Lytechinus pictus: one gene and its partner. Each later gene encodes a partner of the first gene's protein in a complex. Links are inferred from orthologs where the notes say so. Each region holds a gene or a part of one and is shown on either strand. Other genes may lie near its edges. The genes, in order: catenin alpha-2-like and catenin beta.

Evidence for each region.
Region 2: the proteins of catenin alpha-2-like (region 1) and catenin beta are in contact, whole or in part, in a crystal structure (PDB 5XA5), measured with the Caenorhabditis elegans proteins. The link is inferred for Lytechinus pictus from reciprocal best matches to the Caenorhabditis elegans genes hmp-1 and hmp-2. Residues at the interface, in NP_505985.1 of Caenorhabditis elegans: Asn20, Val21, Gln24, Gln27, Leu28, Glu31, Val32, Ile35, Glu37, Thr38, Phe39, Pro40, Leu41, Lys42, Thr47, Leu50, Val51, Thr53, Leu54, Ala57, Val58, Asn60, Phe61, Thr64, Gly65, Ala68, Cys72, Leu85, Met99, Gly103; in NP_001252426.1 of Caenorhabditis elegans: Ser47, Ile48, Val49, Glu50, Met51, Met52, Gln53, Pro55, Thr56, Gln57, Gln58, Leu59, Lys60, Ser62, Val63, Met64, Asp65, Leu66, Leu67, Thr68, Tyr69, Glu70, Gly71, Ser72.

Annotation. Positions count from the first base shown.
Region 1 is NC_087256.1:10,652,357-10,669,255, reverse strand, and holds the start of catenin alpha-2-like, read left to right. Parts: upstream 1-9,443; 5' UTR 9,444-9,861; intron 9,862-14,632; 5' UTR 14,633-14,647; coding exon 14,648-14,761; intron 14,762-16,020; coding exon 16,021-16,207; intron 16,208-16,899. UniProt on the Caenorhabditis elegans protein: Required for cell migration during body enclosure and cell shape changes during body elongation. Required for proper localization of other junctional components, such as pac-1.
Region 2 is NC_087245.1:36,920,303-36,937,470, reverse strand, and holds the start of catenin beta, read left to right. Parts: upstream 1-10,594; 5' UTR 10,595-10,791; intron 10,792-13,901; exon of another isoform or gene 13,902-14,018; intron 14,019-17,168. UniProt on the Caenorhabditis elegans protein: Required for cell migration during body enclosure and cell shape changes during body elongation. Plays a role in recruitment of the cadherin protein hmr-1 to adherens junctions.

The DNA of each region.
Region 1 (16,899 bases):
CTAAATCGGCGCCGGTCAAGAATAATCAGCGTCCCCTAGTTCCAATAAATAGGCGCCGGTAGAATAATGAAGAAGGGCCTATTGCCAACCAAATCTAGATCGGCGCCGGTCAAGAATGATCAGCGGCACCTGGTTATACATTTTATTGTTGAATGGTCATAACAAAGCTTATCGCATGCCCTTACAGAGTGGACTGGGGCGGGGCAGTTGCCCACAGAATGACAGACGTCATGAAATCTTTAATTTTTTTTTAAATCCCAGAATCATACAAAAGCGTATATAGAGCAAATCCTTTAATTTTGATCTTTTTTTCCAAAGCTTTAATAAAAAGAAGGTCAGTCACTTTTCTTCTTTACACATTCTACATTGTGCCACCTCTATGGCCTTTAGTTTAAGACAGCTACTATAATGTTTTATGAAGATGATTCAATATTTTAGCCGAAAACTTTGCTAAAACCCGTTGCTAGTACCGGGAGTGTATAATTACGCAACCAGTCGTATACTGAGATTGAGCTACACAACTCGTTCTTTATTTAAAATCGTGCTTAAATTATCCGCTCCTCAGATTGGAATATAAAAATTTTCAGCTCGCGCTTCGCGCTCGCATCATTTCTTAAGCAAACCCCATACTTTTCATGATTAAATAGGTGAATAGAATGTCCCTTTTTCAGGACTAAACGTCAAAAGAACTCCCGCTTCGATTTGCAATAATCTTTTGCTGGATATAATCTTGTTCTTTATTACAAACGTCCATTAAACTGTCATTTTTTTTTCAGATCGAAATATCAAAATTTTAAGCTCGCGCTTCGCGCTCGCATCTATTGTTTTTTTTAGATACCCATCTTAATCATTGGTACCAAAAACGCATAGAATATCAAGCTTTCTGGTCAGAATATAAAGAAATTTCAGCTCGCCCTCGGAACTCGCATTGTCTGTGTAGTGAGATATGTATCCTCCTCATGAGTTACTACAAACAGTCCTAAACAGGCACCTTTTCCTGTTTTCAGGTCAGTATACTAAAAAATTTCAGCTCGCGCTTCGCGCTCGCATTAATTTGTTGGTGAGATATGTGTTTCTATCTCATGAGTCATATAAATATATATATATATATATATGCATATGTGTGTGTGTGTTTGTGTGAGTTTGTTTGTTTTGTGTGATATCGAGCGCCTTTGGAAAGTTGATTCATGATGTTGCCCCCCCCCCCCGAATCTTAAAAAAAGGATCGACGCCCCTGTGTATATATATATATACATATAGTAAAAAAAAACTTGTATCTCTATTAATATACAAAAGTATTGGCCTCATCGCAATAAAAGGGTTAATACACGAGATTTTGAAGTCGCACATAACATGCATAATTTGTGTTACTTTTTGCTTGTTTCTTTCTTTAATAAGTTTTTCAATCTCTCTCTATATATGTTTTAGAAAGATTATATGTTTAAATTGATGTATATTTCTGTTATAATGAGATATGTTTAAGTGGACTTCAGGGAATGGTCGTACGCAGCAAGGGGGAAGGGGGGGGGCACATTCGCGATCTGCTGTTGTGAAAAAAAAAAATTTCCTTAACATTTCATGAAAACTATGAAAAATTTGCAAATGTGAGATGTGCACCAAATTTTCGAATCTTGCCCCCCCCCCCCGGAAATATTATCTGCGTGTGGTCATGCAAAATGGCATGACTGGAAATTCTACATTTTGAAAAGAGCATTTGACAGGGTCAGATTTTACCCCTTTTTCAACATTTTCTTTTATGGCGCCGGTGAAGTGCAAAAATATGTGCGCCGCTCGGCAGTGCGCCCCCCCCCCCTTTCGCCAAAAGCTGGATCCGCCTATGATTGTTTGTGTATGTATGATTTCCTTCAGTTTTTTTTTCACATCATACTCAGTGATGCTGGAGGAACACCAAAAGAAACCATCTCCTAACCGACCGATAGTCTGTCATTGATAATAATGCATATAGCTTTGATTGGTCTGGAGTCAGCTTCGCTGGTGTGACTATTTACACCCATTAACCCGATGACTACTGAATTCATTCATTTTCATAGGCTTTGTAAAGGGAGCACCTGGTTCTGGTAAAGGTAATGGGTTAACTGCAAGACTGATGCAACTTTGTTCCTCCGAATGATTTTTCCCACTATATACATGTATTTTACGGTCACTAAAGGCGCAAGGTATTACCCAAATATTTGCTGGAAGTTGTGAACTTAGAATATAAACCTGATTATTTTTTAGACAAGCAAGTCATTTCGGGGGAAAATATTTAAAAATCGGCAATATAGGCCTTCATCAGATAAATAACAAAGAAGCCTAAAAACGATGAAAGAAGGATATGACATTTTGAAAATCAATTACATTGAAGAGAATGAGTGGAATTCTAAAAGTACCCCAAAGTCGGTTACAAAATGACAAATTATATCGGTTTGGAAAGTCTATGAAAAAATAATGAAAATAATGGTACAGTCTTGAAAGTAATACCGAAGACGAACAATAATAACTCGGTATTATGAATGATAAATAGTTATTACTTATTGAAAAACATAGGCACAGGAAAGCCAGTTCAAACAAAATAAGCGCAAATGATACCGAAAAAAGGAGAAAAGTTCATTTTGAGCAAAGGTTTGTTTACGAGAACATAGAATATTATTTGAAGAAATAACATGGATGTTATGTTGATATAATAATGTTTACTAAATTTAAGCAACTAGCCCTGCCATTGCGAGGATCGGCACAAAGTTTCAATTATAAAGAATTTCTGGGCACCACAGAAAAATGAGGGAACGGAGGACGTCACTCGCTCACTAAGCTTCGCTTTTCTCGGTATTCATATCATTCGAGAGTGTGGATATAATTATGTATTTTATTGTATGCATTTTGAATTTTTACTCAATAAATGTAGAAAATGGTGATATTCCGCCGTGAACATGTGAAAATGCTATTGCGGAAACGTAAATCAACAGCTTTCTTTAATAAAAAAAGATATCTCGTAAACGGCGAATTAAAAATCGAGTGAGTTTGTTACGTCATCGCCTTGATCTGTTGATCTCATTATCATGATTATAATATACTATCCGTATTATGCGCTAGTATTTCGTAAAAACAAGCAAAATTTTAAAATGTCAATCTTTTATAGACCTAAATCTGAATTTTATCAATTTTCTCTATAATCTTATGGATAGGTCTATAATAGACATAACAATTAGACGGCATGATATAACTCGGTCAGGATGGTGAAAATAATACACTGTTAAAAATAAAACTGTAAAAAAAAGAACATTAATTATTACTGGCAGCTGGGACTCAATTCAATTCATCTTATTGATGAAACAAACAGTATGAACTGTTAAATTACGATGGGCAGTAAAAATGAAAAAAAAATAGATAACTGTAAAAAACAACAACACAAAAACATCATTTTAACATTCATTTAACATGAAAATCGCCATTAATTTACAAATACGAATACTATTTATACGATAGATGCACTGCAATCATCGTAAAAACAAGATAGTTCGTTGGTATTTTTACAAAGAGTAATATATTTTACTTTGTTTTACATTTAACTTGTGATCCTACGTTACATATCCCTGCATAATTTTCGGAGTATTTCATTTCATGTCTATTTCGAACAATAAATTATGGATTTTCATTTTCATTTTCATAAAATACGTTGTTTTTTAATCATTGTGTCGTCTGTTTTTAAAAGGTAAACATCCTGTAAATTTACGATTTTTCTTTGTAAAATTACTAGTATTTTTAACAGTGTAGGGATAACAATTATGGATGGATTGTGGATATAATAAGAAGCTTAATAACATCACTGGGCCTAAAATAACAACAATAAGAATAATGATCAACAACAACAATAACAATACGTAGTGATATTAATGATAATAATGCATGCTAATGATCATGATAGTTTGCATGTTTTGGCAGGGGAGGGGCGGGACGTGATGTAGGCCTATTATTTCCATTAGGCCGATATGGCATTCAGTAGGCCTAACTGATTCAATTGGAAGGTGACTCCCTTTTATTCTTTTAATCATCTTCCTCAGCCTATTTTACCTTGTACTGACTTTTTTGTTATGAAATTTCATTCTTCTCATTGCACTGGCGTAAATTCGGTAAGAGCAGTGGGGGAGGTGGGGGGGGGGGTGAAAGCAATATTTTGACCTCAAAATAAAAAAAATGAGGGGACACCCCCACACCTATATAGGGCTAACAATGTACATATTCCTTTAATCTTTCAGTTAAAGGCCTCTAACGATTTCCTTTTATTTGCTATAAAAATGCATTTGTTGTGTTATAAACTACTGAACTACAGTTAGTATCCAAATAAGAACGAGCGAAGCGAGCGAGAAAATTTTCCATAGTTGGAAGACAGAATGATAACCGAATCGTTTTTCAATTAAGGAGTGTAATTCATTGCGGTGGTGAGCGTAGTTAGCGAGCCTTTAAAAGTTGCTTCATTATGATGATAAGGGTATTATCAATAACGTAAACTTTAGAATAGAATGTGAACAAGAAATAAAAAAAAGCAAATAGGGATTAAACAGTCGAGTCTTGTTCTATGAAAACTCATATGCTCACTGATTAAAGTGAGATGAGAATGAAAAGTCAGTAGGCCGAATATATTTTTAACAAAATCCCCCGCTTCCCACTGGGCAATTTGTTACCGATTACCAATTTTACCGGTTATTACCGGTAATATCACCCGGAAATTTGAGTAACACCAAATATTACCGTTATTACCATGTTATTACCGAAATTATAATTCCTGTTGATACCTGTTACTGTTATCACCCTGATGAAACCTACATTTACCTAGTTACAACAGGGTGATGAGGGGTAATAATGGTAATGTTGAATGACTTTGATTGGTTATAACATTGCAAACTTTAGTAATAAGAGCAATCTTACAGCAATCCCAGCGAAATTTTCAAAGTCCAAAAAATTACTGTTATCACCCTGATGAAACCAACATTTTACCCAGTTACAAACAGGTTGATAAGGGGTAATGGGTAATGTTGAAACGCTTCCATTCCCAGACAGCAAAGTATCTGGATCACATACGGTTCTTATCTGGGATATCTGGGTCCCATATGGGCCCACATGGAACCCAGATGAAAACATATACTTGAATCCACATGGTGCCCAGATAGGACTCAGATGGAAACGAGACCTCCAACCCATGCGGAACCCATTAATATTGGGTAAATGGAGTAATATCAGATGGTAATATCAGGAAAATGCTGGGAATATTAGTTACTCATGAATATTCATTACTACAATAAATGGCCAAAATTTTAGCTAATATAGCTGTAATAATTAATGTGTTTATGTTTATGCAATTATTCCACCCAGAAAATTTTCAGAAAAATGTGTAGTTTATATATCATATTAGTCATAATCATGACATTAATTTTAGAAAAATGTTTTAGGGTTGAATAATTGTTAACCATAATTTGTCAAGTGTTGTAAACTCGCTCAATATATAGAAGTAAATGACAGGGTTTGGTGGATAGGTGTAGGATAGGATTAGGATTAGGATGTAGGATTTTAGGATAGGATAAGATGATATGGCTTAGAGTATGGAGTTGTAAAAATGTGCTTCAATGACCCTAATGACACTAATTGTTTTTTTAATGAGCCGACATTAATTGGGTAATATTGGGTAAACAGAGTAATATGAGGTGGTGATATCATTAAAATGCTGGAAATATCGGTTACATCATACTGGGTAATATTGGGTAAATGGAGTAATATCGGGTCCGGGTAATAACGGGGAAAGATTGGTCTACTATTTCCCCGTTACTACCCACTGGTGTTACCGTGGTAATAACTACGTTATTACCTGCATCCACTACTAGAGATTTCCCATATTACTTAAAGGTGTCACGCGCATAAAACATTCCCCATAGACTTGTGTGTTAAAATGGCACTTTTGAAAAATTCATAAAAAATAAATGTGAAATTAGAGGGTGGAATGTTTACTACCAATGGATAGGATATATATCTGACATTCCAAATCTGACCAGGAAAGGGTACCGTAGCCAGCTCATTTTAAAAATAAATCGCCATTTATGAAGATAACTATGAATCGATCGAATTCATCAACTGAAACAGTAAAATAGCCCTAATTATTCCGCCAGTCAAAAAATAGTTCCAAGTCACTTATTTATCTTCCCAATTTGGGCGAAGTAAGTTCAGTAGTTACCATTTCTAGAATCAGTGTTAGATTTTGAGTACATTCATACATTTTTGTCAATCAGCAATATCAAATTGACAAAAATTCGAATGGGTTGGGTCGAACGAATATCTTTAGCCCTCCTGATGTAATTAGGCTCGTGGGACCTATATTATATGACCTATGTATTTTATTTATTTGAATAGCTACTTTGCTATTCTTTTATATCTGTACACTCACACTAGTACAAAGAAATGCATTGAAAATGCCTATTTTCTATGCAATCACCCATTTTAATGTGTTACCCATACATGTTATTTTCACTGTATATGGATGTATACAAATCCTACCTGCATATAGCCCAACAGTGAATGCAATGACAAAATAGGTCCCTATTAATTGTAATATAAAGGTGTATGTAAATTATGTGTAGATATCAGGATAACAGAATTGCCCCAAACATAATTACCAAATATACATGAGATTGGATGAGGAAACAATAAAAGAATGAGATACTACTTAAGTATATTTGCATTTGACCTATTCAAAATCTTGCTAGGGCTGTTGCCTCTCAGATGTAAGAAGGAAGAGATACATAAATAGATAGAGAGAGAGAGAGAGAGAGAGAGAGGGAAAGATAATTTTATAGATGGCATGGCTTAATAAAGGGGGGGGGGGCTATACTAAGATTGCAGCACACAGCCACCCCCCTCCCTCCTTAGTTGAGCACTATTAGATACCTTACCTTACTCTGTGCCCTTTTCTATATACCTTCTTGAAGGTACCACTCTAGTTCTCTTCAGTAAAGTTCTCAAAGTTCTATCTCCTCTCTTCCTACCCCCTTCCTAAGAACAATTTCAACATGAGCAAGTTCTAAAGGTCTTTCTAATGCTAAGTAGGTGATGTACACTAACACAAAACAATGATAAATGAGAACATAAAGAGGCCTTGACTCTATACATTGACCAATCTACATACATTCCTAGGCTACACAGACCTACTTACTAACTTTACCTGATGTAGCCCTGCTAGCCATTAAATCCATTTTTTGCACCACTTGATGACTAAACATATTGATATCAGTGAGAAATTGTTTGATACTGAAGAGTTTGGCCAGGTATTCCATATCCACTACTAGAGATTTCCCATATTACTTAAAGGTGTCACGCGCGTAAAACATTCCCCATAGACTTGTGTGTTAAAATGGCACTTTTGAAAAATTCATAAAAAATAAATGTGAAATTAGAGGGTGGAATGTTTGCTACCAATGGATAGGATATATATCTGACATTCCAAATCTGACCAGGAAAGGGTACCGTAGCCAGCTCATTTTAAAAATAAATCGCCATTTATGAAGATAACTATGAATCGATCGAATTCATCAACTGAAACAGTAAAATAGCCCTAATTATTCCGCCAGTCAAAAAATAGTTCCAAGTCACTTATTTATCTTCCCAATTTGGGCGAAGTAAGTTCAGTAGTTACCATTTCTAGAATCAGTGTTAGATTTTGAGTACATTCATACATTTTTGTCAATCAGCAATATCAAATTGACAAAAATTCGAATGGGTTGGGTCGAACGAATATCTTTAGCCCTCCTGATGTAATTAGGCTCGTGGGACCTATATTATATGACCTATGTATTTTATTTATTTGAATAGCTACTTTGCTATTCTTTTATATCTGTACACTCACACTAGTACAAAGAAATGCATTGAAAATGCCTATTTTCTATGCAATCACCTATTTTAATGTGTTACCCATACATGTTATTTTCACTGTATATGGATGTATACAAATCCTACCTGCATATAGCCCAACAGTGAATGCAATGACAAAATAGGTCCCTATTAATTGTAATATAAAGGTGTATGTAAATTATGTGTAGATATCAGGATAACAGAATTGCCCCAAACATAATTACCAAATATACATGAGATTGGATGAGGAAACAATAAAAGAATGAGATACTACTTAAGTATATTTGCATTTGACCTATTCAAAATCTTGCTAGGGCTGTTGCCTCTCAGATGTAAGAAGGAAGAGATACATAAATAGATAGAGAGAGAGAGAGAGAGAGAGAGAGGGAAAGATAATTTTATAGATGGCATGGCTTAATAAAGGGGGGGGGGGCTATACTAAGATTGCAGCACACAGCCACCCCCCTCCCTCCTTAGTTGAGCACTATTAGATACCTTACCTTACTCTGTGCCCTTTTCTATATACCTTCTTGAAGGTACCACTCTAGTTCTCTTCAGTAAAGTTCTCAAAGTTCTATCTCCTCTCTTCCTACCCCCATCCTAAGAACAATTTCAACATGAGCAAGTTCTAAAGGTCTTTCTAATGCTAAGTAGGTGATGTACACTAACACAAAACAATGATAAATGAGAACATAAAGAGGCCTTGACTCTATACATTGACCAATCTACATACATTCCTAGGCTACACAGACCTACTTACTAACTTTACCTGATGTAGCCCTGCTAGCCATTAAATCCATTTTTTTGCACCACTTGATGACTAAACATATTGATATCAGTGAGAAATTGTTTGATACTGAAGAGTTTGGCCAGGTATTTTATGTTACAACCCAGGTAATATCGGGTAAAATGCCCAGTGGGTTGGGCCATTCACCCTCAAAAACGTTTTACGACCAAGAAAAGAAAAGAAAAGAAAAGGGGTATAAATTTAGAGGCTGAAATATAATCCTTTAAATCAGAATCTATCTCAAAGATTTTCGTAATAAAGGTCAAAATTTTCTTGCTCATGCACTTCGATCGCTAGCTGCCCGCTCCCACGCAGCTTTTCAGAAATATTTCCCCTTTTTGGCATGTTAACCCCGTAAAATTGTTGGCTCATTACGCCACTGACTCTAATGAGTGATAGAAAAGTCACCAAAACAATTTTGATAATAAATAGGTCAGTTATTGTATCGGTCTATATGATACCAAGTATCAAAGCGCAGTTGTGTATATGCACATAGTAACTGCGCTATATAAATGGACATATTATTATTATATTCTTTCTTAATTAGGCCTATATGGGGGCCTATCTTTTTTCCTATATAGGCCTACGTTTCTCCCCGCGTTTCTCTCCCGCCCGGCGAAATTATATGCGCTTCCAACGTTATGTGCGCATATGCCTTCATTCACTGCGTAGACGTTATCATGAGTGCGATTATTGTTTTGATTTTAAAGAACAATAAGCATTTTTTTTTCTCAAAATCAATTCACTCTTCCACACCTCACATTCTATTGACATGAATGATGCGACTTCGTGCTGAGTAACTTCTTTGGTATGCGATATCTCGGTGTGCTTTCTACTATCATACATCCCTCTGAAAATTAAGAAAGTGATTTCACTAATGGATTTAATTTTTTTAATTTTCAAAACTTTTATTATTTCAATGAGACCTTATTTAACTAATATAATATTAAAGTTTCTTAAGTCATATTATCTCTTTATGGCAGGCGATGAGTCCTTAGTTAAAAGAAAGAAATATGATTTGTTTGATAATATGACAATCAAATGGAACAGCCACAATACAATCAATTACGTTTATTTTATATAGACGAACGTACCGTACCGGTACGTTACGTTTACACAGGCCCACTTCTTCAGTTCTCGATTAACGGTTCTACTTGGAAGACTGAATATTTATTGGAAAATAGGTAATTATGTCTAACATTTATTTTTCTGACACGTTTTGTGTTCAAAGATGAAGTACAGTGTGTTGATAAACTGAAGATGTATGTATACTTGTTGTCATACGCGGTGAAATTAAGCATTTTGTGATGCAGGGCGCAGTATGCAGTCCCATTCGTATAAATATGTGCTGTAAATTTGTCAAAAGTTTTGCCTTATTTTTAAAACCGAAATCATGCAACGACCCTTTGATTAAAAGAAAGAAACACGATTTGTTTGAAATACATATGGATAATTTATTTTTCTGTTTCAGTCATGAAAAGGGAAAACAGAATTTGCCTATGCCATCGCGTTTTTAACAATGCAAAACTTCGTACTTATTCCAGTCTGCGGTGACCGATGGTGATGCTACTCATTTTTGGCGGAACTGACATGACTGAGTCTAACGTTAAATAGTCTTGGACATAACCTTGTTCATGAATGTGTGCTCTTGGCTTGCAAAATTAATGCAATTGCTGTAGAGTAAAGTGCCCAAATATCTGACACTTAAGCATAATTGGACCAAAACAAAAATACAATCATCAAATCAATAAAAAGCATGTGTATTTCCTTTTTAGGCCTACTCTACAAATGTTGAATATTAAGTCATAAAAAATAGAATTGAAAAAAATATCGTAAACAGAAATTATTTACTCACTACCAGAAGCTTGTTTTTTGTCACATATCGGGCACATAAGGTTGTGCGCCGCGATCAATTTCGGCGATTTAAATTGCGCTCGCGCTCTGAACCCCAAAGTAATTGCTTGATTGTTGAGAAAATAACTTATATCAGCTGCGCAAATGCGGTTTTAATTATTACTATCAATAATTTTGATATAGACATTGGTAAATAATAATTATTTACTTACCAAACGGACCTCTTTCGGCTCTAAATATCGGACGTCTTCGCTCAGCAGCATGCGACTTCGTTCTGAAAATGAGCGCGCGCGCCTCAACAGCACACATTTCCAAGTCAAAAACATAGATTTTACCCCTGGAATATTTTTTTAGCAGCAACCTGGATTGACTGTATGCAGTTCAATAGCAGGTATGTTCATGTATCTCATGCATGCAAGTCCCCCGCCAGTGCGGGTACCTGTAGTTGTGGGGAGGGAGTTGAAGTCATTTTCGTCCGATATTTGGAACTGTCCGACGTTTGGGGGTTTTACTCTACTGGATCAACTTCATGCACGGTCACTGAGGCCTTGCTAATAATATACGGACTGTGTCACTGTTGACTGTCAGAGTGTGCAAGTCAAACTTTGACTGACTGCGCTAAACTCCTTTATATTTGACAGGATTTCGGCCTAGATCTAGTTCATGCTAGTTAAATAAAGTAGCAACATTTCAGGAAATTGCGCAGATGAAAGGGGAAGTTCACCCTGACAAAAAGTTGATTGTAAAAATAGCAGAAAAATAATAAAAAATATTGCCAAAGGTTTGAGAACATCCATCATAGAATTGAAAAGTTATTAGAATTTTCATTATATGATTTGTGACGTGATATGTGAGCAGCATCCCCACAATATAGCGAATAGTAAAAAATCAATGAAATTTCATTTTCTCAAAAAACGGTTTTTATTGTTCCTTTTGTACTATATGTCAAAAGACAAATAATTTCACACCCAATCATGGATAGAAAACAAAAATAATTTGTCAGGAACTAAAAAAAATGAAATTCATGCATTTTATATTATGTAACATATGGGGCAGCTTCGCAGCTGCTACGTGCTCGTTTGTGAAGTCACAAATCCAAAACTTAAAATTCAAATAATTTTCTTAATCTTTAACAGATTTCCTCAAACCTTCACCAATATTTTTGATTATTTTTTCTGCTATACAGCAAACTTTTCTTCAGGGTGAACTTCCCCTTTAAAGGTCAAGTCCATCACAGGAAAATGCTGACTTCAATAAATAGAGAAAAATCAAACTAGCATAGTGCTGAAAATTTCATCAAAATCAGATGTAAAATAAGAAAGTTATGACATTTTAAAGTTTCGCTTATTTTTCACATAACAGTGATATGCATAATTAGGTGACTCGGTCGATGATGTCCATCACTCACTATTTCTTTTGTTTTTTATTGTTTGAATTATACAATATTTCATTTTTTATAGATTTGACAATAAGGTCCAACTTGACTGAACCTTATATAGGGACAGTGATTTTCCGCGATCGCGGAAAACGGACGGAATTCACGGAATCGGCCTTTTGAAACGGAAAGTGGCTTTTCAAACGGAAAATCACAGAAAACATGTTTTTTCTCAAAATGCACAAAATAGCAACAGAAAGTACTCCCAAATCCTCAACAAAATACAAATATCAACTGAAAACACGATCTCACTTTGCTACAACAATCATGACAATCAACACATCGTATTTACACTTGAGCCCCTCGATCGTATCTAAATTAGTTTACACTCACGTCCGCATATAAGGCAGAATACGGCCGTGTGTTGCTGCCCTCTGCGTTCAGTCATAATATCATGATCACGGTGATTCAAGAAATCCAAAATGGCGGATAAGTGGAAGTCGTCGACTGATCAAAACCATGTCCGAAAAGTCCCCAAATCAGTGATAAAATCTCATTTAACCATAGAATAATGCTAATAATATGAAAGGTGAGGATTTATTAATGTTGATTATGTTTCTATAAATAGTTTTTGAGCTCGAATCTCTTTGATTAAAATGGATTTTAAAGTGATGTTAGTACATTGGCAGATGCAAATTTTGACAGTGCTAGCATTTTGACATCATTGCGTATTGGTTTTCTATGTAAACGGAATTGTCACTTTTTCATGTACCAGTACACAAAGTCTATGGGGAAACAGAATTTCCGTTTTCAGACATGCTGAAACGGAATTTGAGATTTTCTGAAACGGAAAAGGCAATTTTTAGAAACGGAAAATCACTGTCCCTACTTATAGTATTAAACAATGCTAATTCCACATGTTCAGGGAGGAATTAATTGTTGTATCACTTGACAATGAGGAGAAAATTAGAATATTTCATATTTCACATAATAAAATACAAGAGAAATAGTGAGTGGATGACGTCATAGTCTCCTCATTTGCATACCAGCCAGGATGTGCATATAACTGTTTTGTGAAATTAAGCGAAACTTTAAAATGTCATAACTTTCTTATTTTCCATCCGATTTTTGATGAAATTTTCAGTGTTGTGCTCGTTGGATTTTTCTCTTTTTATTCAAAATTTTTGTTGGGGTGGACTTGTCCTTTAATAGCAGATGACAAAATCCATCTTTCAACATACATGTAGCGAATAATTTCTAGAACCATTTTGGCAAGGCAGTGCAGTGCCAGGTGAATGGGACAGCATCAGTCACGTGTTTGCATCTTCTGTTAGACTTTCAATAAACACCAAGCCCAAAATGCCCATCTTTTTGCTTACTCTAGAGTAAAGTACACAACTATTGGATGCTTCGCACTTCGCAAGTAGATAGGACAACAAAAATTTGGAAAGCTCTTAATTTGTCCAAAAAATAATACATCAAAATAATCCTCAACACCTAAAATATAATGAAATGTACTTTAAAGAATTTCTATAGGCCTATAACTTCTGGAAAAGTGGCAAAATAGATCATGTTTAATAGACGTAATGGGACAGGTCTCATTCAGCTGTATGTCGCACGCATGTGCGCGACCGCGTGCGCACGTAGTATACTCATCTAATGTGTAAACATTGCATTAAGCTAGTGATACCTGGTAATCCATGAAATTCATAATGCAAGTCTATAATATCCATGGCTTCAGAATGCATTTTGTGCTGCACTGTGCTGGCTGGCTTTTCACTGCCACACAAGGAAATTTCAACAATTCAAGTTTAAAAAACGATCAATAAATTTGGATTTTATTGAATGTCAGGTTATTCTTCAGGCCGAAGAGAAAGCAAAAAAAGTTTAGAAAGCCTGCTCAGGTACTAATATTTTCATAGCTCTACTTAATACAGTAGTTGATTTATTGTGTAGAAATATAGTATCATGTGTAAGTCTAAATCATCTAGAAAATGAAATAAAGGCCTGAAAAAAGGTTGATGTACATGTAAGGGCATTTTCACAATTACTTCTACAATGCACCAATTCCTTTAAAAATGCAAGTCAAATCACAATGGATAGCTGAGAGGTTGTGTCGAAAGTGGGTAGACAGGGACATCAGATCCTCCGAAGATTCGGACCGGATGAAAAATTGAAAATATGTTTTTTATCCAGAGTCCAGGACGACACCACTGATTTTATTCGCCAATTTTTGACAAAGGCTTTTGACGAAAGATTCTCTGCATTATAGAATAGATTGCAAAAATGCCCTTATCATAGTTTTTGGTGGCACTGCATTTCTGATGTATTTCTTTATTTTGGCGGTCCATCGATTTCTGGAGAAAAAATTCTGGGCGGGCACAGGTTAAAAAAACACACACAAAAAATGGATGGCTCAAGCCGACTACAAATAAACCAAAGTTTGCACTAACATCGATTCTTTACTCTATCGTTGTCTAAATCTGACCCATCAATGAATGATTCCAAGTTTTTCCCATGAAAAAAGAGAAAGAATTGGCATCCAGTCCGTCCAATGCAAAAAGTAGATTGAAAATGATGAAGATTGCTGTTGAGAGAGCTTGCATGCATGAGACTACATGCTTTTCATTTGTATTATTTTAGTATGAAGGGGAACCTGGGATTCCCTGGGGAAAAAATAACGTAAATTCATCCAATTATTGTATGAATCTTGTTTGTTTTTATAGACAGAACTACCAGACATGTCAGGCAGCATGTCACCTCCAAGGGGTACCCTAACCCTAAAATGGGACCCAAAGAACCTGGAGATTAGAACATATTCAGTGGAGAAGACGTTGGAACCATTAGTTACACAGGTAAAGTAGTAAGCACTGGCGTAAATCCCGGGGGGGATGGGGGGGATATATCCCCCCCACTTTTCGAGGAGGGGGGGATGGCCTGTACAAACATCCCCCCCCCCCACTTTTTACGAAAGAAATGAAAAAAAAAACATCACAAGAGATAATTGTTTTATTGGTGAAAATTCTTCCTGAAATACCTACTAAGAAACCTTAGAATGCCCCACTTCAGGTCTGAATTATCTAAATTTTCAGCTCGCGCTTCGCGCTCGCCATATTTGATTAGTGAGATGCGTATGATAATCATGATTGCAATGACTACAAAAAGTGTTTCATGTGTTCAGATGTAATTCTTATAAACCAGCAAGCGCTTGGCACTCGCATTAGATGACTATGGTGAGATATGCATACTCTTAATGGATTCCTAAAATATATTCCTCAAAATCTTGCTGTTTGGGGTCAAAATATACGAAAACTTCAGCTCGCGCTTCGCGCTCGTATTGTTTAGCGAGACAGGTACCTATCATGATTACACAAATTTGATTATAATGTCTCTTTTTAGGTGTGAATATAAAAAAATTCAGCTCGCGCTTCGCGCTCGCATTATTTGATCAGTGAGATGCATATATCCGTTTAATGACATTGTCCAGAAAATGTCTCTATTAGGTCAGTATAACTGGCAACTGAGCGCGCTCACTCAGTGATTCAAACATTTTGCTGGTGCCCCCTCCCCAATACCGTGACCCACGGTACGCCACTGTGGACATATCAATGACAATTCCTTGCATATCTAAAAACATGACTGCAAAAAAAAGCCAAAATATTTCAGTCATCCCCCCCACCCATCAACACGGATTTACGCCAGTGGTAGTAAGACTAAATTATGTGTGAGTTTTCACCTTTGAAAGACTTGCATCCACAAAAGAGAGGGAATATGATTTTAAAATCATTTTTTTTGATTGCGAGTAAAATTTTATTATTTTTGTTTGTGAATGTCAATGTAAATGTGATATGGCCTAGACAAAGGATTGTATCAGCTAGATCTAGCAATGTAGTACTCCTCCCCTCTGAAATCATTGAATACAAATTTGAGCAAATTCTTCGCTGAAATTTGACAAAATTTGTCTCACAAAATTTTTTTCACTTGTATATTTAGGGTCTGCTAAAAAAATTAATAAAGATAGCGGGCCTGATTTTATGCAGTTTACTGTCGGTTTGATGAGGGCAACATTTATTTATTTTTTAGGTCTAATGTCTTTGTTTTGTCATTCAACTAGGTGACTACACTCGTCAACACCAAACCGTCGAGTATGAAGAAAGGTCGATCTAAGAAAGCTCATGTTTTGGTGGCTGCTGTGATCAAAGCAACAGAGAAGTTCATTGAGCAAGGAGAAGAGATAGCTCATGAAATACCAGAGATTGAAAGGGAGATGTTGACTGCTGTTGAAGAAGTCAGAAGCACCGGTGAGGTTTTCCGTAACTTAGTAATTCAAAGGGCATTATATTGATTCGCAATAGAAAGTTGCTGTAAAAATATGACATCATCAAAATGGGACATGCTTGTAATACCGTCAACTTTTCATTGTTTAAGGTCCTTAAAGGTCAGTGTTGTTCAATACTAAAAGTAGCTGTTATTGAACCGAAGAGCCGAAGAGATAACTATTGGAATGAAGGAAGAAAGAAAGGAAAGGAAGGAAAGGAAGGAAGGAAAGAAAGAAAGAAAGAAAGAAAGAAAGAAAGAAAGAAAGAAAGAGGAGAATATCTTTTAAGTTTAAGATACTATTTAAAATAACTCACAAAATTATGTTTTTAATACTGAATATGTTTTTAATACCGTGCAACATGTTTTTCTCTTAAATGCAATGGCTAATATTGCAAAGGTATTATTTTTAAAAAACACAGAACTTTGATTCATGTTGTATTTAGTAATGATCATATCAATGAAAAAAAACACCCCGGAAGAAAGAAAAAACATCAAATTTGTTCAGACACTTTCAAGATATCTGAAAAATCATCATTTACTCAATCTCCTCAGGAGACTAATATAACTCATGTTAGTGTATGGGATGAAATTAAGAAGGTGTTTATTTTGGGTCACTATATATTTCACTCTTTTATCAAGCACTAAATAACGATTTTCAGGTCCATTTTTTCTG
Region 2 (17,168 bases), on another chromosome or scaffold:
TAACGGAGCGTTCTCAAACCAATCCATTGAATGGTAACAGAGAAAGGGAATGCATGCAACTATTATACTTCTCCTCCTCCTTTTATAGCAACAACATAATGAACTATCCCTACTTAATATTCTACTTCTTCTTCTTCTACAATACTACTACTACTGCTATTACTACTACTACTACTACTAGCTACTACTACTACTACTAATACTACTACTACTACTGCTACTACTACTGCTACTACTACTACTGCTACTAATACTACTACTACTACTGCTACTACTACTACTACTACTACTACTACTACTGCTACTACTGCTACTACTATATACTACTACTACTACTACTACTACTACTACTACTACTAGTATACTTCTTCTTCTCCTGCTGCTACTACTACTACTACTACTACTACTACTAATATAATACTACTACCCTACTATTATTACTACTACTTCTACTACTACTACTAATACTACTACTACTACTACTACTACTACTACTACTACTACTACACTACTATTATTACCGCCGCCGCCACCAACGCCACCATCACCACTAAAACACGATGTATCAGCCATGTGTCGTGTACAAAGGTAGACTTTTGAGAGAGAAATGGGACTTCTCGAGAAAAGTTGTATGTAGCTTACCGCAGATGGCACTTGACCTGTTCCACGGAGCCGACATGTAGAGCTATGGACATGGTGGAAGGTCAATCTTAAAAAGATACTCTAAAGCCTGACTCCATGACTTACTGGTGAAGGGCAAGCGCCTGAAAGTTTAAAGAATACTGGTACTACTCTCGCAACGGGCATTTGCCCTCTCCATATTGTTATGGATCTAAAACATACTGAAGACCCGTGTGTCACGTACGTAGATCATCATGATTATCAAGGCTGATCATAATTGTTTAATTATTTTATAGTAGGCCTATATTTATTGTGCTTATTATTGCCCTCTTCATCATTTCACTTGGATCCCCCACTCCCGCCCTGCTCACAGCAAAAAAAAAAGGGGGGGTAACGTTTCCCACCCCAGCTAGCCCCCCCCCCCCTCCCCGTTTAACATTTCAAGATAAGTACAGCTCATACAGGGCACCTACACACACGAGTAAATCATTACCGTGCAATGCTTTTCGGACAGGTGCAAGTAAAGATCACGTGATTTTTTTAAAATAAAATAATTCATAAAAATTCGGCAATATGTTTTTTATGAATGTATAATACATCGAAATCTATATAGGGGTTGATTTCAATGATTTTGTGAGCTACGTGAGTGAATGTGAGTCCGAGTTACTCCTATGTGCCCTGTACTGTATGACGCCGAGAAAGTACCCCATCTACTGTTCAAATACTGTCCAATGAGGAAACTTTTTGCGCGAACAAGAAAAGTAATTTTACAACAACAAAAAATAGAAAAGGTGGCGATTGATCGATTTCGAGTTTCAGTTATCTAAAATGCAGGGGTCATTGAAAATGGGTTTTTGATAGATGATCCTACCCCCCCCCCCTGCCTTGATGCCTTTGCCTATCGTATATTCGATAATTCTGACATTAAAAAAAAGAAATCATATTGATGATGTCCCGTATGACAACTCTAGCAACTCTTATTATGTAAAACAAAATGAGAGAATAGTCATAGGCGGATCCAGGGGGCGAACCGCCCTCCACCCACCATATTGGCGGCGAAAAAGGGGATATAATTATTATTTTTTTAATCAGCACGCGCTTCGCACTCGTTTTTATTTTATTTAGTGAGTTACGTTTGCTTTGCTCATGATTTCAAATGGCCCTCAAAATATATAATAATAATAATAATAATATAGAGTATTTATAAAGCGCCAAATCCACATTGATTATGTGCTCAAGGCGCTGAAATATACTTGGTATATTATTATTATATAGTTTTCAGATCAGTTTATAAAAGCAACAGGCCTACATTATAATGCAAAAAATCATTTGTCAATCCTATATATTTTTTTTTTAGTTCTTGGAGGACAAAATTTGAATAAACATAACTTCATGTAATTATACAAATGCAGAACACGAGTGAATATCAGTTTGAGCTTTGAATATTCATAAAGACATGCCTAGAACTGTTTTACCGAAATAAGTTAGAAATGCAAGAACTTCGTTATTACTTGTCTGATTTTGATAAAATTTAATTTTTCATTGTTTGGCTTGTCTGATTTTTCTTCAATTTTATTATCAGTACTATGATGTATTCTTGTAATTGGTTCTAAAACAATGACTAAGAAAGAAAGAAAATGAGAGATGTGGATATGAGGATATCCTTTATGTAATATTTTAGTCTTCTACCCTCGCAAAATTTGACATTAATTAACACGTAACTTTCCTAGCGAAATAGATACCCCTTTTTTCATTATTTTAGTGTTTTGACACCCTTATTACGTTACGTACGTAACGTGCCCTATCTTGAAAAAGGCATGATTTTTATGAGTTTTTCGGTCGCGCATGGTAACCCCGTTACGTTACAGCCACGCATTAACAGTAGTATTACTAGTTTGATGATTAAAACGTGTTTTTCTGTCTTAATTAAGTGTGGGATGATTTTACAGGCCACCGGCCAGCCCCCCCCCCCCCCCCTTTAGGCTCTCTCTCTCTCTCTCTGAAAAACGGTTTTGGGATATATGGATACGCTAGTCATTTATGGCCTCCCACGGGGCCTCCTATTGATTGGTCTTTAATGTAACTCTGCTGCAGCCCCCCCCCCCCCCCCCATTGGCGGAGCAAAAAAGGGTAAGAAAGAAAAGTAGTAAAGAAGGGAAAAGAGAGGAGAAAAAAGAAGAGGAAAAATAAGAGGAGGAATACGAGTGAATAAAATCAGATGAGCGGAAGACTTGGAAGAAAAAAAATCTTTCATGTCACTCTACAAAATTTTCGTTCGCACTTCGCGCTCGCATTGCCAATTAGGTGATTTGCATATCTTGCTCATTATCGAGCTTAAGATATCAAGTTTTGAAATCAATTTACAAAACATATTTCAGTTCGGAAATCGAACTTTCATTATTTTGTTTGATTTACAAATTGATTTTTTTTAAGTGCTCTGTAAAAATGTCATTTTTATGGTCTAAATAGTAAAATTTTCTGCTCGCGTTACGAGGCACTTATTATTTGTGAGGTACTTATTATTTTCGTGTATTCCATAAAGTTCTCAAAATATCCCTATTCAGGTATGATTGTCAAAACGTATCAGCTAGCGCTGCACGCTGTATTTTGATTGGTGAGTGATGTATATATCTCAATAGGCTATTAATTTTATAACCAACTACTTAAAATCCCCATTTCATGACAGTTTATCAAAAACTTCGGCTCGCATTAATTGTTAAAAATATATCAACTCATGCATCTTATACATAACTACAAAAATGCTTGAAGGGATGGTCCGGGCTGAAAATATTTATATCTAAATGAATATAGTAAAATACACATAGCAAAATGCTGAAAATTTCATCAAAATCGGATAGCAAATAACGAAGTTATTGAATTTTAAAGTTTATCAACATTTTATGAAAACAGTTATATGCATATCATGCATGAATACTCATTAGTTGGGCTGATGATGTCACATTTCCACCTTTTTTCTTTTTTATGTTATTACATGAAATCATAAATGTTTCATTTCATACATGTGTAAATGATGTGTCTCCATTATAATGAAATAAGTTGCGGCAATAAATACCTAATGCACTCAATCAGTTGTCAATCCGATGATCAGGCATAGTCCTACAAGCATCGTTGGATAAAAGTATAAAGTAAAGTAAGTAAAGTTTTAGTTGTTGGTAGAATAATTTTGAATAAACCTAATTTCATACAATAAAATACAAAAGAACAAGTCGGGATATGACATCATCTGCCCACCTAATGAATATTCATAAAGACACGCCTAGAACTGTTTCACCAGAAATCTTTAATTTGTTATCCGATTTTGATCAAATTTTCAGCATTTTGCTCTGTGAATGACTCTCTTTATTGAGATATAAATATGTCCAGCCTGGACCATCCATTTATATGTTCAGTTTTCAGGCCATAACAGATTTCGCGCTCTAATAAGGCTTATTAAATCATTGAGATAAAAAAATAAGATTTTAATCCAGTCATAATTAAATTGTCCCTTTTTTCAGAATGGAATAGGCCTATCGACAAGTTTCATCTCGCGCTTAGAAAGAGAAATAGGAAGATAGTCATCATTTTCATATGCTATGACGAAATGTCCTTAGAATGTCCCGGTCCTAATTATGTCAAACTCAAAGAAATAATAATGAAAAGTATCAGCTCTTTATTAAGTGCGATCCATATCCACCTCACAATTTTCCTACGAAGTGCTTGAAATATAGAGCTTAAATTGATTTTTTTTTTCAGATCGGAGTATAAAATAGGCCCTATTTTAAGCTTGCGCTTCGCGCTCGCTTTGTTGATTTTCATGGGAAAAAGTGTATTTAGAGTGCCGAGATTCTAGGTCTAAATCTGAAACACGCGTATGCATGCTATTGAGATACGCAGCTTTTTATATATTTAAATAATTTTCCAGTTTCAGATCAGAATATCAAAAATTTTCCGCTCGATCGCGCTTAATTCGCGCTCTCATCATAGCTATCCTGTTCATGATTACAAAGCTTACTGTCAAAAATGTTCAGCTCGCGCTCGCATTATTTGATTGTTGAATTATGTAACGTCTTCATGGCTAACTGCAAGCAGGCCTTAATACTGTTAAGGCCTGATTGCAACTTAGCATTAACTGTACAGGTCCCTTTTCGAAATTTCTGCTCGGGCTTCGCGCTCGCAGTTGCATACACATCTTGTTCAGGATCACAAACATTGCCCAAAATGTTCAAATTTTACAACAAGATATACATAAAATTAAAAAAAGTTAAGCTCGCGCCTCGTGATCGCAATATTTAGATTATGAGATAATCATATATTTATGTTATAAGAATAAAGCTAAGAAGCCGCTAAGAAAGAAACAAAAATCAACTTCGAGCGGCCGTTTGGCCGGATATGGCTGGAAAAATAAATCCGCCCCCTCCCCATTGGCGAAGGCTAGATCCGCCCCTGTAATAGATATAGTTTCCTAATAAAAAAAAGAAGAAAGTTACCAAGTTCCTATGATAGCTATGATAGGAAGAGTGCTTCCAAACAAGGAAGGTTTTCAGATCTGACAAACCCTCGATCCACGTACATGTCTATCAGAATTCGAACTTTTGGCGAAATATGAGGAAATAATTTCTGAATCAGTTTCAAGAATGAATACTTCAGATGGCTAATGACTTGAATCCGCCAAGAGCAAAAGTCATTCGTCGTTCAAGTCAATCAATCAGTCATTTGACCTACCCACCTGTACAAACTACAATGCACCCCTTTTATCATCAACAATAAAAGCATTCCAAGTGAATAAGTCAGACTACAACCGAAGCACTACCAGACATATATCCATCCGCAAATTTTGATGAAGTTTATATGATTTTATTGCAATTTAAGATACTAAAATGGCAGAATGGGAATGAAATTACCTTTTTTCTTGTCATTTTTTGAGAAAGATGCACATATCATAAATTAATTTATCTAAGGTTTGCGATTTGATATTGATATTTGAACTATATTCTTTGTGCGCAGATTTTACGTCATTGATTGACAGGTTAGCGTTATCGAGCTTTCAATTGATTATACGTGCATTCATTTTTACAGAGATACCGTACAAATTATGCTACCCGTGGTTCCGTACCGTACTGTCGTGTAAATTCAAATATTCATGTACAAGTAACAGAAAATACCACCAGATATCAGTGTGACAGTTGTGGACTCTTCAACTTTCAAGGGTTTTAAAGCCCTAGCAGAAAGGTGAGTATTTGAAGTTATTTTGTTCGTTTAAGTAACATTTTTTATAACTGTAGTGTAGATGTGGGATCACTGGTTGAGTGGAGATGTGCGGAGGAAAGCGCAGCGACAGCGGAGTGCAAAATGACATGAATGAGAAAGTGCAATTGCAATCATCTGAATGTGAACGATCTGAGCTGAATAGTGAATCAATGTGAGAGGGGGTGATCAAAATGGTGGATTGTATTAACTGATCATATCAAATGCACATTAATGTCATTATTTATTTAACTTCATCAACTGGGGGGGGGGGGACTCAAATAATTTTTTGATGGGGTGTACCGTACCTCACGAAACTCTGAAATGGGGGTCTAACTAAGCCTAATGTTAGGAATTGACTAAAAGGGTAGAATACGGGGTCTTGGGAACTTGAGATACTGCAAAGTGTGAAAAACAGTCTATGGTCATGGAACGGGATCGCGGCAGGCACTGTGCACTGCAGTGTAGGTACGTTGCACCATAGCGCTTAAAAAAAGGAAAAGTTCCGTCTCGTTCCGTTCGTTCTCCTGTCAAAATTGAAAACAAAATGGCCGATCGATACTGAGAACGAACGCGACAGAGGTGTAACTTTTCCTTTTTTTGAGGGTCCAGTTTGTGCCTTGATGTGCCGGGGCTGGGCTGCTTCTGAACTTAAAGAATAAAGGGGAATCCAGCCTTTTCCATAAAATGTTGTGTTGGGAAGGAGAAAAATAAATCAAACAAAATGGTGAACGTTTGAAAGAAATCCGACAAGCAATAAGAAAATTATAGCTGCTTTAAAACTGAGATCACTAATACTATGTAGATTTCAAATTGGCAACTGGGTAAGTAAATGATGACAAGGGGCAAGGACAACTTTCCCATAGGCCATGTACTTAATTATCAGGGATTTGTGGTTTTCTCCTAAGTACCCATTCCCCTGGGGCAGTAATAAACCCAGGTTGCATATTGTTTCATGTCCTCATAAAAGAAAAATATAATTTGAAATAAAACTTTTGGGGAAAATGACATTTTAGCCAAGTATTGGAGTACATGGAAGAGTAGTCCTTGCCTTACATCACTGTGACATCTCATATGCAGCCAATTTTACAACTTTTTAAATTTTTATAACTTTCTTGTTGTTTGTCCAATGTTCAAACTTTCACCTATCAACTTGTCTGATTTTTCTTTTTTTTATAAAAACAAGTTTTTATTTGGGTTGGATTCCCCTTGAACTTTTGTCATTTGGAGTCTAGAGAATTGAAAATTGGGTCTGAAAAAGGGGGTCATCAAAGGGGCACATCCCCGTACCACCATTATTTGTGAGTGCCCCCTCCCCCCCTCTCGGGCTTCAACCACGCCAAAACCTAGTAGGCCTACCTCACTGATATGTGTACTGTGTAACTTTAGACTCCACTATTCACTAACCCTCCGGCCTCCGCTACACCTGACCTAGCTAGGCTACCCGAACCATTGGGCGATAAATAGAAAAAGGCAACACGTCATGTAAAAAAGAGACATTAAGCATACTCTACAGTGTCTAAACTTACTATCGGACACAGACTCATTCCTTGCCCTTTCTTGTAAACGTCTCAAAATCAGTGATATGAAGCCGGTTCGCAGTACACCACACATATTAATTCACCGTCAAATCCAAAATGGCGAACTCGAATTGCGCACGGCCCGTGCAATAAATTATCAATTATTAGTTGTACCTTTAAAAATTGATTAGTTTTTACACTTGCGTAGGAACAAAAACACTTTAGATTTTTGCTCTGTAGTGGGTCTGCACATATAATGTAAAGATTGGCTTCATGTTAATTGGTTTTGGAGCTGTTGATAATGTTTTTAATTGCTCTTCGACAAGCTTGTGTCCCAGGGTTGGAAATAATTTTTATTTTTAGGGGCCATTTTCCCCCACATTGGAGATGATTGCTGAATTTTTCAAGGCTATTTCTTTCATTTCAAGGGCTACATACATATACTTAGACAAGCAACTATGCTGTAAAAAGCAGTGTGCTGTATTTTATAAAATTGATTTCTTAACTTTCTTAGATTGCTTTGAGCAGATCTTGGGGTGACTTTAGAAAAGACTATCACCCAAACATTCAATTTGGGGAAATTTATGGGCATTTTTTTTTTGCTATCCAGAGAGCGAATCCACCCATCGCCCTGGTGTATTTTCTGTGTTGTCCTGTGCACCAATTGCTTCATAGATCTTCCCTAGCTCTACATGTACATGTAGCTGAGTATGGATTTAAAGATGCCAGTTGTAACCATTTCAAAATGAGTTGGTACAGAATCCTATAAAATGACCACCCAAGTGTCTTTTTGTACTGAATAAAAAATTAGGTGCCAAAGGATTCTTAAGAAATTGTGTAATTGCTGCAAAATAAGAATGACATTTCACCAAATTGTCGGGTCTTTCCATGTGTACTCATCTGTGTTGGCGAACTTCAGTGTGATTATTTTCAGCTTCAATTTCGTGATTTCACAAAGTTCAGCTTATATAAATGTACCAGGAGGCCGTTTCATAAAGCTGTTCGTAAGTTGAGAGGGACTTTAAGAACTACTGGTGAACCTTTCTTACGCACTAAACCATCGCCAATTCATTAAATTTACCATTTACAACAAAAAAAGATCACCAGTCGTTTTTAAAGTCGCTCTTAACTCAGGAACAGCTTTATGAAACACCCACCCGATCTGGGGCCATTTCATAAAGGACTTGCAACTGTTGTAACTTTGCCATAATGGCAACTACCATGGTAACATGGCTCAGCAGCCAATCAGAATCAAAGTTTCCATGGTAGTTGCCATAATGGCAAAGTTACAACAGTTGCAAGTCTTTATGAAACGGGGCCCCAGTACATGTATCTACATGTGTAGGATGATTGATATGGTACATGTACATGTATGATATGGCCTGGTTTTACACTTACTCATGAAATGAGCGTTTTCTGCAACTTCTTTCATTTAGCTTTAAATCTGTTAAAAAGTAGAAAGAAACATCCATATTTCTTAATTTTTCCTGTTGAATGAGGTACATGGATACGTTTGGTTATAATGTCAGTCTCAGAGATGTCTAAAATTATGGCCAACTCGTAAAGGCTTTTTGAGACCTTGATATAGAATAGACGGACATGTACATGTGTCTCGTTGGAAGCACCCACATCTTGTGTCCAACTGTTAATCCATACCCTCTTCAGTTTCTTGTTTCAATTCATTCTTTAAATAAGTGTTTGGTACCGCAAAATCGTAATATAGCCTTCAAAACGGACATACTGAAGCTTTTCGACATGCACGCATCAGAGTAAAATCGCATGAAATGACTAAAACGCTAGAGCAAAACAATATGTAATAGAACCGAAATAGACAATGTACGCTGAATGGCGAGCCGTGATTGGCTGTCAAGGTAAACAATTTAGGCTTAGTACTAGCCGTAAATTTAAATTCATTCTTTGCTGTAGGGGTTAGGCTAACATTAGGTTAGGCCTTTGGTAATGAATATATGGTAAAACTTGAGAAAAAAAAATACCAGTACTTGATCTTGTATGATAACGATATTGAAGTGCCCTTGATCTTTCCTTGGAAAAACTTAAACAAGCAGTTTTTGTTCAACTTGCTGTCATTTCTTTATTTGTGCATCAATCATGTTCATACTTGGTACATGCATGTATGAACCTTGGGTAATACCACATGTGAGCCCATGAGAAAAATGGGGGTCAAAATCAAAGGTCATCTAGTGGTCAAAAGGTTAAACGTTATGATATGTCTATCCTTGTATTTTCAAGTGTTTGTTCAACTTGCTCTCATTTCTTTATTTATGCATCAATCATGTTCATACTTATATGTATAACACATGAACCTTGGGTAACACCACATGTGAGCTTATTAGAATGATGGGGATCATGAGGGTCAAAGGTCATCTAGTGGTCAAAAGGTCAAATGGTACATGTATGTGTATCCTTTAATTTTCAAGATTTTGTTCAACTTTCTTTATTTCTGCATCAATTTTGTTTACACTTGGTACAAATAATAATTGGGTAATAGGGGGGGGGGTAATACCACATGCATTCTAATGAGCATGATAAGCTCAAATGTCATCTAGGGGTCAAAAGATCATATTGCATATTTCATTGATCGCGAAATCGGGTGATACTAGTGAACCACCTTGTTATTTTGTTTCATCGTCAGATTGGGCACATTTTGAATTAAAGGATTAGGAAAGTTTGTCCTCTGTATCAATTACTATATGACACTGGATAGAATCATATTGCTCTTGTCGCATACAATAAGTCATATGTAATTGGAATGCACTTCCGGTAATCTTGTACAACAAGGCAAAGACTAGAGTGAAGATTTTCTCCTTCATGGAAATGGGTAAATGACTTGCTGTGCACCCAATAGGTGAGCAAGCAGAGTAAATGGGTTTTTATAATTGTAGTCTATTATTCAGTCATCTGTTGTTATTTGTTGCATTTTTATTTGTGAATATATAGAATACCGGGAAAATACAATAAACTACATTTAGGTCGGCCTGTAGTGTGCACAGTGGATGTGACTGTATAAAGTGTGAGACCTATAAGATGTAGGTCCACATGTAGAAACTCGAAGCCCTTAAATAATGAACAACTTTATGTCTGAATATTTATTCAATGGAAGACTATGTTTATTGTGGCTTCTCTGTGTGTGGGAGTAGCAGTGGCTTTGTGTGTTTGTATAGCATTGGTATTCATTCCAGTGGAATGCCAAATACAGAGTGTGTGTCATGGGAGATAGGAGGGTGTACAGTATGTACATGGACCTGCTGTTTATCTCAACACCCTTGCCTCCTTCACACACATGCACTATTGCACTGGCAATTGGAGAGGATGCACTTTGTTTGTTTCTGTAGGACTTCCAAGTGCATTTCGCATGAGCATAATGATGCTGAGTGCTGAGATTGATGTGGGTTACAAATGAATTTATATCCTACATAGAGTAAATCCTGTATAGTGATTGGTTCAAGTAGCATCATGTGACCGAATATATTTCAACTATGATGTTGCGTGACGTCAGACCTCGATATATTTTTGGATATACCAATATTCTGACGTCATTATTTCACAAAACTGGATATCTCGGCGCACCGGCTTGCGCGCTCTCTCTCTCCCGGGCGCGCAAGTCCAGCGCGATGCGTCAGCGCAGACACTAATCTGCGTTCCGCTGGGCGCGGTGGCTCGGAAAAAAGTAGGTAATTCAACAGGACTTTGCATGCTCAGCGCATAGATTTTGGTTATAAATTATTAAAAGTAGGATATAAAGCAAATATATCAGGCGTTTCATTCGAAAGCATAGTGGGAATATTAATCCTCGGTTGGACTGGCAAAACTACTATATTTCCCTCGGGGCTTCGCCCCTCGGGAAAAAATAGTAATTGCCAGACCAACCTCGGATAAATAATTCCACTATACTTTCTCAAAGCCCGATATATTTGTTTAATGGATTCATGATCATGCAATATACATATCAGAGTACATGCAGGATTGACTGTTTGCTCTTACTAATAGAGATGCATAAAAAAATGTAGGCCTATGATGCAGTTATGCATTGAATTTTTAAATGGCAGTGTGATTCAATTTTATGTCATTTGTTTTTATCTAGGCCTACATGTACATGTAGGGTCAGTGATTTTCCGTTTCAAAAATGGCCTTGTTCGTTTCAGAAATTCTTACATTCCGTTTCTTTCAGCATGTTTGAAAACGGAAATGCTGTTCCCCCATAGACTTTGTATACATGAAAAAGTGATAATTCCATTTACATAGAACGTCAATACGCATTGAGTAGCGATGTCACAACACTCGTGCTGGTCAAAATTTGTATCTGCCACTGTACTAACGCATTAGAATCTTATCATACCTATACAGGTGCACAAAATATTTTGACAAACACATTTAACATTACCTTTCACATTATTAGCATTATTTTGCAGTTGAATTAAATTTTATTAATATATAATTTGGGGATTTTTTTTGACATCGTTTTGAGCAGTCAATGATTTTCGCCTAAAAGCCATTTTGGATTTCAAGAGATATTGTTCTGTTACCGAACTTAGAGAGCAGCAACATACAGCCGTATTGCTGCCTTCTACATGTATATGTTGGTTATAATCAAACAATGTGCGCATTTATGTGAATGTTTTCGATACGGCCCAGGCCGTCCGGCGGGGGCTGGGGCGAGGGGTATACGTTGGAGTCGAAAACAGTCACGATGTGTGGATTGTGGTGATTGTAGCGAAGTGAGATCGTTTTCAATTTTATGGGGTTTTGTGGCCAGTTAATATTCATATTGTGTTGAGATTTTGGAGTAATTTATTTGCACTGTTCTGTGCATTTTGAGAAAAAATATGTTTTCCATGATTTTCCATTTGAAAAGCCACTTTTTGTTTGAAAAGGTCTTTTCCGTGAATTTGGTTCGTTTTCCGCGATCGCGGTAAATCTCTGTCCCTATCTATTAACATGTAGATGGAGGTCTAATTGTCTTCAACAAAAATGTGATGTACATGAGGCTTACATGTATTCACATACATACATGTTGCTTGTAGGCCTACAGTATCAAATGAAATTCATCATGAGTGGTTAGTGGCAACAAGTACATGTAGGCCTATAGCATTGGCCCTAATAAGAACAACAGATGCAAATTTCAATATTTTCCTGGTTTAGATTTGCATGAAAAAAAATGTTTAAAATATGATTAAGCCTACATGTAAATGAAATACACAAAATGAGAGGTATTTAGCCTTTAGGCTATTATATTCCTTTTTTGTTTCTTTAATGTTGAAGTGAAATTGATGCCCCCCCCCCCTACATGTATACATGTACATGTATGCGCATGAAAAACACAATGCTAAAAAGATGAGAAACATTTGTGGCTTACATTTCAAAATAAGAGACAGTGATAACGAAGTACTGTAAGCATTGTGGGTGAGAAGTTCAAGCCAAACGTCAGCATGGAATATCTAGTATGTGAGTAAGATGACCCTGGGTGGTTTCAGACCGCCTCGAAGTTCGCCAGTTCCAGGTATTCTCTGATCGGGAAATTTACCCCGATCAGAAAATACCAGGTATTTTGGCGGTGTGAAAGCAAACTACGCGTAATATCCCCGAAAGAAAATACCCGATAAATAGTAGGTACTTGGCGAAATTACGAGAACTTTCGCGGGGATTTTTCCAAGGTCGTGGGTATTTTGGCGGTCTGAAAGCAAATTACGGGAACTTTTAGCCCAGCGTGTCGTTGGGTGCGGCGCCGTGCATGGGTTGCTCCTGGGCTAGTGATTTTGAATTTCGCGCCTTGCTGCTTATCAGACCATACTGCGCATGCTCGTAACTTCAGGAACTTATCCCGAAGGGTATGTTTCAGGGCGGTGTGAATGCAGGAATAATTAATGGGTATTTTTCAGCCTAAAAAAGTTCTCGTAATTTAACGGGGATTCTTGTGATCGAGGCGGTTTGAAACCACCTCCTGTCAAATTTTCTCAGATGATCACTAGTACTTGCCCAGACAGTGACATGTACATGTAGTCTGTTTCAATCAAACTTCCATCTTTGTCTGTGTGGAATATGCTAAAATGGGTTGTACATCAGTACACCAGCACGCATTACTGTGGATTTTAATCAGTTTCTTATGAATGTCTAGTTTCTTTTTACAGCTGGGAAGGAGATTGACTCTCTTTGAAATTCTTACTTTAATTTTTATTTAAACTACATGTACATGTACTTTGTAATTCATATTTTCATTTTATATATTTATTATTATGTATTTTCCAGGGGGGATGCCATATTGTTTTATTTATTCTGAATTATTGTCAATACATGTGCTACTAGTGCTTAATTCTAGGCCAAGCATTTATTCTGAAAGTGGAATCGTGATTGAGCTGAACATGTAGGCCCACTGATCTCTTCACTCTTGTGACATTCATGTCAACTGGTGTGGTGCCATTGGAGAAAAGCTTCTGAACAGTTACACCCCAGTGCCCTGACTTTCACATTCCATTGCACCATGGCAATGTCAATCAAATCCTAGCCCAGACTGCCTGTAAGATGTCATGCTTGCCCATGTAGTCTACCGCTTGAAGCCCATTGGATTTTGCAGTGTTGCATGTACATATAGGATAAAATTAATGTGTACTTGTACAGGTAAATCTGTATCAAAACTTGTAGACCAGGAGAGCATTTCATCAACATTTTTGTCTGACAAGTTGTCAGATCTGACAACTTTCCTTGATTTTGATTGGATGAGAGGCACTGTAACTGTCGGATAAAACAGGACTTGTCGGACAAAACATTTTCATGAAACGCTCCCCTGAGTGACATGTAACGTACTACATGTATTACTAGGTGAACAATATCTGTGCATGTCCTACATATGTAAACACATGTAGAGTGTTAACATGTGTATATTTCAGGTTTCTTCTTACATGTTGCATTTCATCATATACATGTACAGTAGGCCTACATGTACATGTACTCAATGCATGAACACCTGTATATTACACAATAGCCTCTTTGCAATACATTTTTTTTTCTTTTTAACCCTTTAGCACCTGAACCGCCCGAGACCGCCCTTCCTATTACACACTGAACCGCCCGTACGTTTTCTTTGCGCTATAGTATCTCTTGTCTATGATTTACCGTGGTAATATTGCGTGTGCATATCGTATAGGTTGGCTGCTACATAGATCTGCATAGAAAAGTGTATGCTCCTATTGAGTATAATAGAGAAAAACCGATTGACATGCATCGGTGTGTAGCAAGTTCCAGACTGTTGCGCAGTCGATATCAGCAAAGATGGCTGCGTCCATGTCTCGGAAAACCACTTACTTCGCCGAAGAAGCTCGGGCCTTGCTATATGTTCATCAAAACGTTGGATATCACACAGAGTGACATCTAGATGTGTGTTGGAATTAATATTTGACATATTTGATTCAAGATCTGGCGAAAACTTTAGTATTCTGTCAGTGATACTTTACATTTTTTTGAAGGCGTGGGACTGGGGCGGCTGAAACCCGAACTTTTGTTTTTTTTTTCTTCTCGCTCTGCAAACGATTGCCAAAGGTCAATATTCGTATATCTGATTGAACTTTGCCATGTACCATTCTATTCAACAGGTCCTATGCTAAAAAATAAATATAACTTGTAATGAACAAAAGTAAATTTATAAAAAAATATTTCAATTTGTTTGGAACAATGCCTACTTATTACCAGTTTTATTGTTTCCTCCAGTGAGTAATTGCCATTATGCATAGGAATCTGTAGGTGCTAGAGGGTTAAAGCCATTGCTTCAATTAGTGATGTACATTGTAGGCCTAAGATGTAGGCCCTCCATAGTCATATAAACAACTGAAATGGCAATGTATTACCCAATACAGTTGTATCATGTGTAGTGTTACATGTACATGGAATTTGTCGATCTTCACTGACAATTTTGCTCTGAGCCAAACAGATACAAGGATTGCAGTAGCTTACAATAATATACAGTGAAAATCACTATTTGTTTTCATGAAATCTCCCCAGACTGCCAATCATTGCTCAAATTGTCATCACAGTAATTATGATGAACAATTGAACAGATCAAATTACACAATACGTGTGGGGCATGCAGTACATGTATGCCTAAGTACCATCCTTGATAGTTATATGTGGTGAAGATTCATCAGGTTATATTTAAGAGCGTGATTGATGAGACTATTTGTATCTCTGTCACATAATTAGCATGGACAGGGGAGTAGTCTGTCATGAGCCTGTAATGTGCCAGATGACAGGTCTAATTAATGACGCCAGCATTTCATTAATGCATGTCTGTCTGTATTGATTGGTTCGCAGACCAAATATACAGCTACATAACATGTTTAAGAGTTCATGTACATTGTGTACAGAGGCAAATATGACTTCATTAACAACATGGAAATCATATGACCTGTACATACACACCCTGCCAAAAAAAGTTTGAAGGGGGTATAGGCTAATTAGTGTTCTATCGGTTCATTGCAAATATTTCCGTTTGAATTCCTAATTTAGTTTTTAACCAATTCTCATGAAATTTGGAACACACTTACATGTAGGTCTTGGGGTAAAGATGTGCGAAACTCCCCTTTTCACTTGTTTCCGAAATTGTGTTCCAATGTGTTGGCATGGTAACATTATATTATGGCAAAACTTGGGTAAAATCTTGTGGTTCGGAGAAGAACAAGAAAGTTATGAACATTTTACATGTATGTTGAGATCACTAATTTAATAATGATTTAGACATATTCCCATTGGCAATGCGACCAAAAATATGAAATGTCCTACTTGGACAACTCCCAAATTACTTTTCTACATATTTTACTTATATTGTCACATTTATCAAGTCTATCCAGAGACCAGGGCCCCGTCTTACAAAGACTTACGATTGATCCAATCAATCGTAACTCTTTGGAACTCTTTTGAACAAACATGCATTTTATATGTTGACTTTGCTGGCTTTCCATAGTTGCGATTGGTCGGATCAATCACAAATCTTTGTAAGACGGGCCCCCCAGAGGTGTTTTTTTTTCAGTGGAGGACTTGAAATAGAGGGTAATTTTCATGAAATCTGTCACGGACCAATATTTTGAGGTATATTTCAGTGTACAAAGGGGAGAGATGTACTTCAGTGACATCACAAATCTTGGTCACATCGACAATGGGAGCATCCCCATACATAGCATCTGTGATTTAAACATTCAAATGCTCAAAACTTTGTCTATTTTCATGCAAGTTTGATTTATTTTGGGGCTGTCATTCTCCTTTACATGTAAGCCATAAGTTGTCCTCTGGTTGTTTACTTGTAAGCCATAATTTGTCCTCTGGTTGTTTACTTACAAGCATAGTAATTGCAATCATTTTTTTAAAAATCTCCACGAGTCACTATCTACCATCCCCCAATGAAATATTTACTACTGAACATAATGTCGTAGTAGAATACACTTTTGATTTGTTTAGCATATTCATCCACCTCTGTGAATTTACACATTGTTTTCCTATGCAAATGTCAAAAGTTCATGCCACTGTCTGTCAATCGTTAGAATATCTCATCCATGAAAAGAAATAAAAATAAAAACCCTGAGTCCATTATTCACTGGCATACTGGAAAAATGGGAAGTACAAACTTGTCCAGTATTTTCATTCAAGCCTGATTCATCTCAGAATATAAAGTTTGCTTACCGGTATATACAAAAAAAAATCAAATTAAAATGGTTATTAGATGCTTTCAGAAATTGGTAAATGTAGATCTTCTTTGAAAATTTTGCCATTTTCTGTAATAGT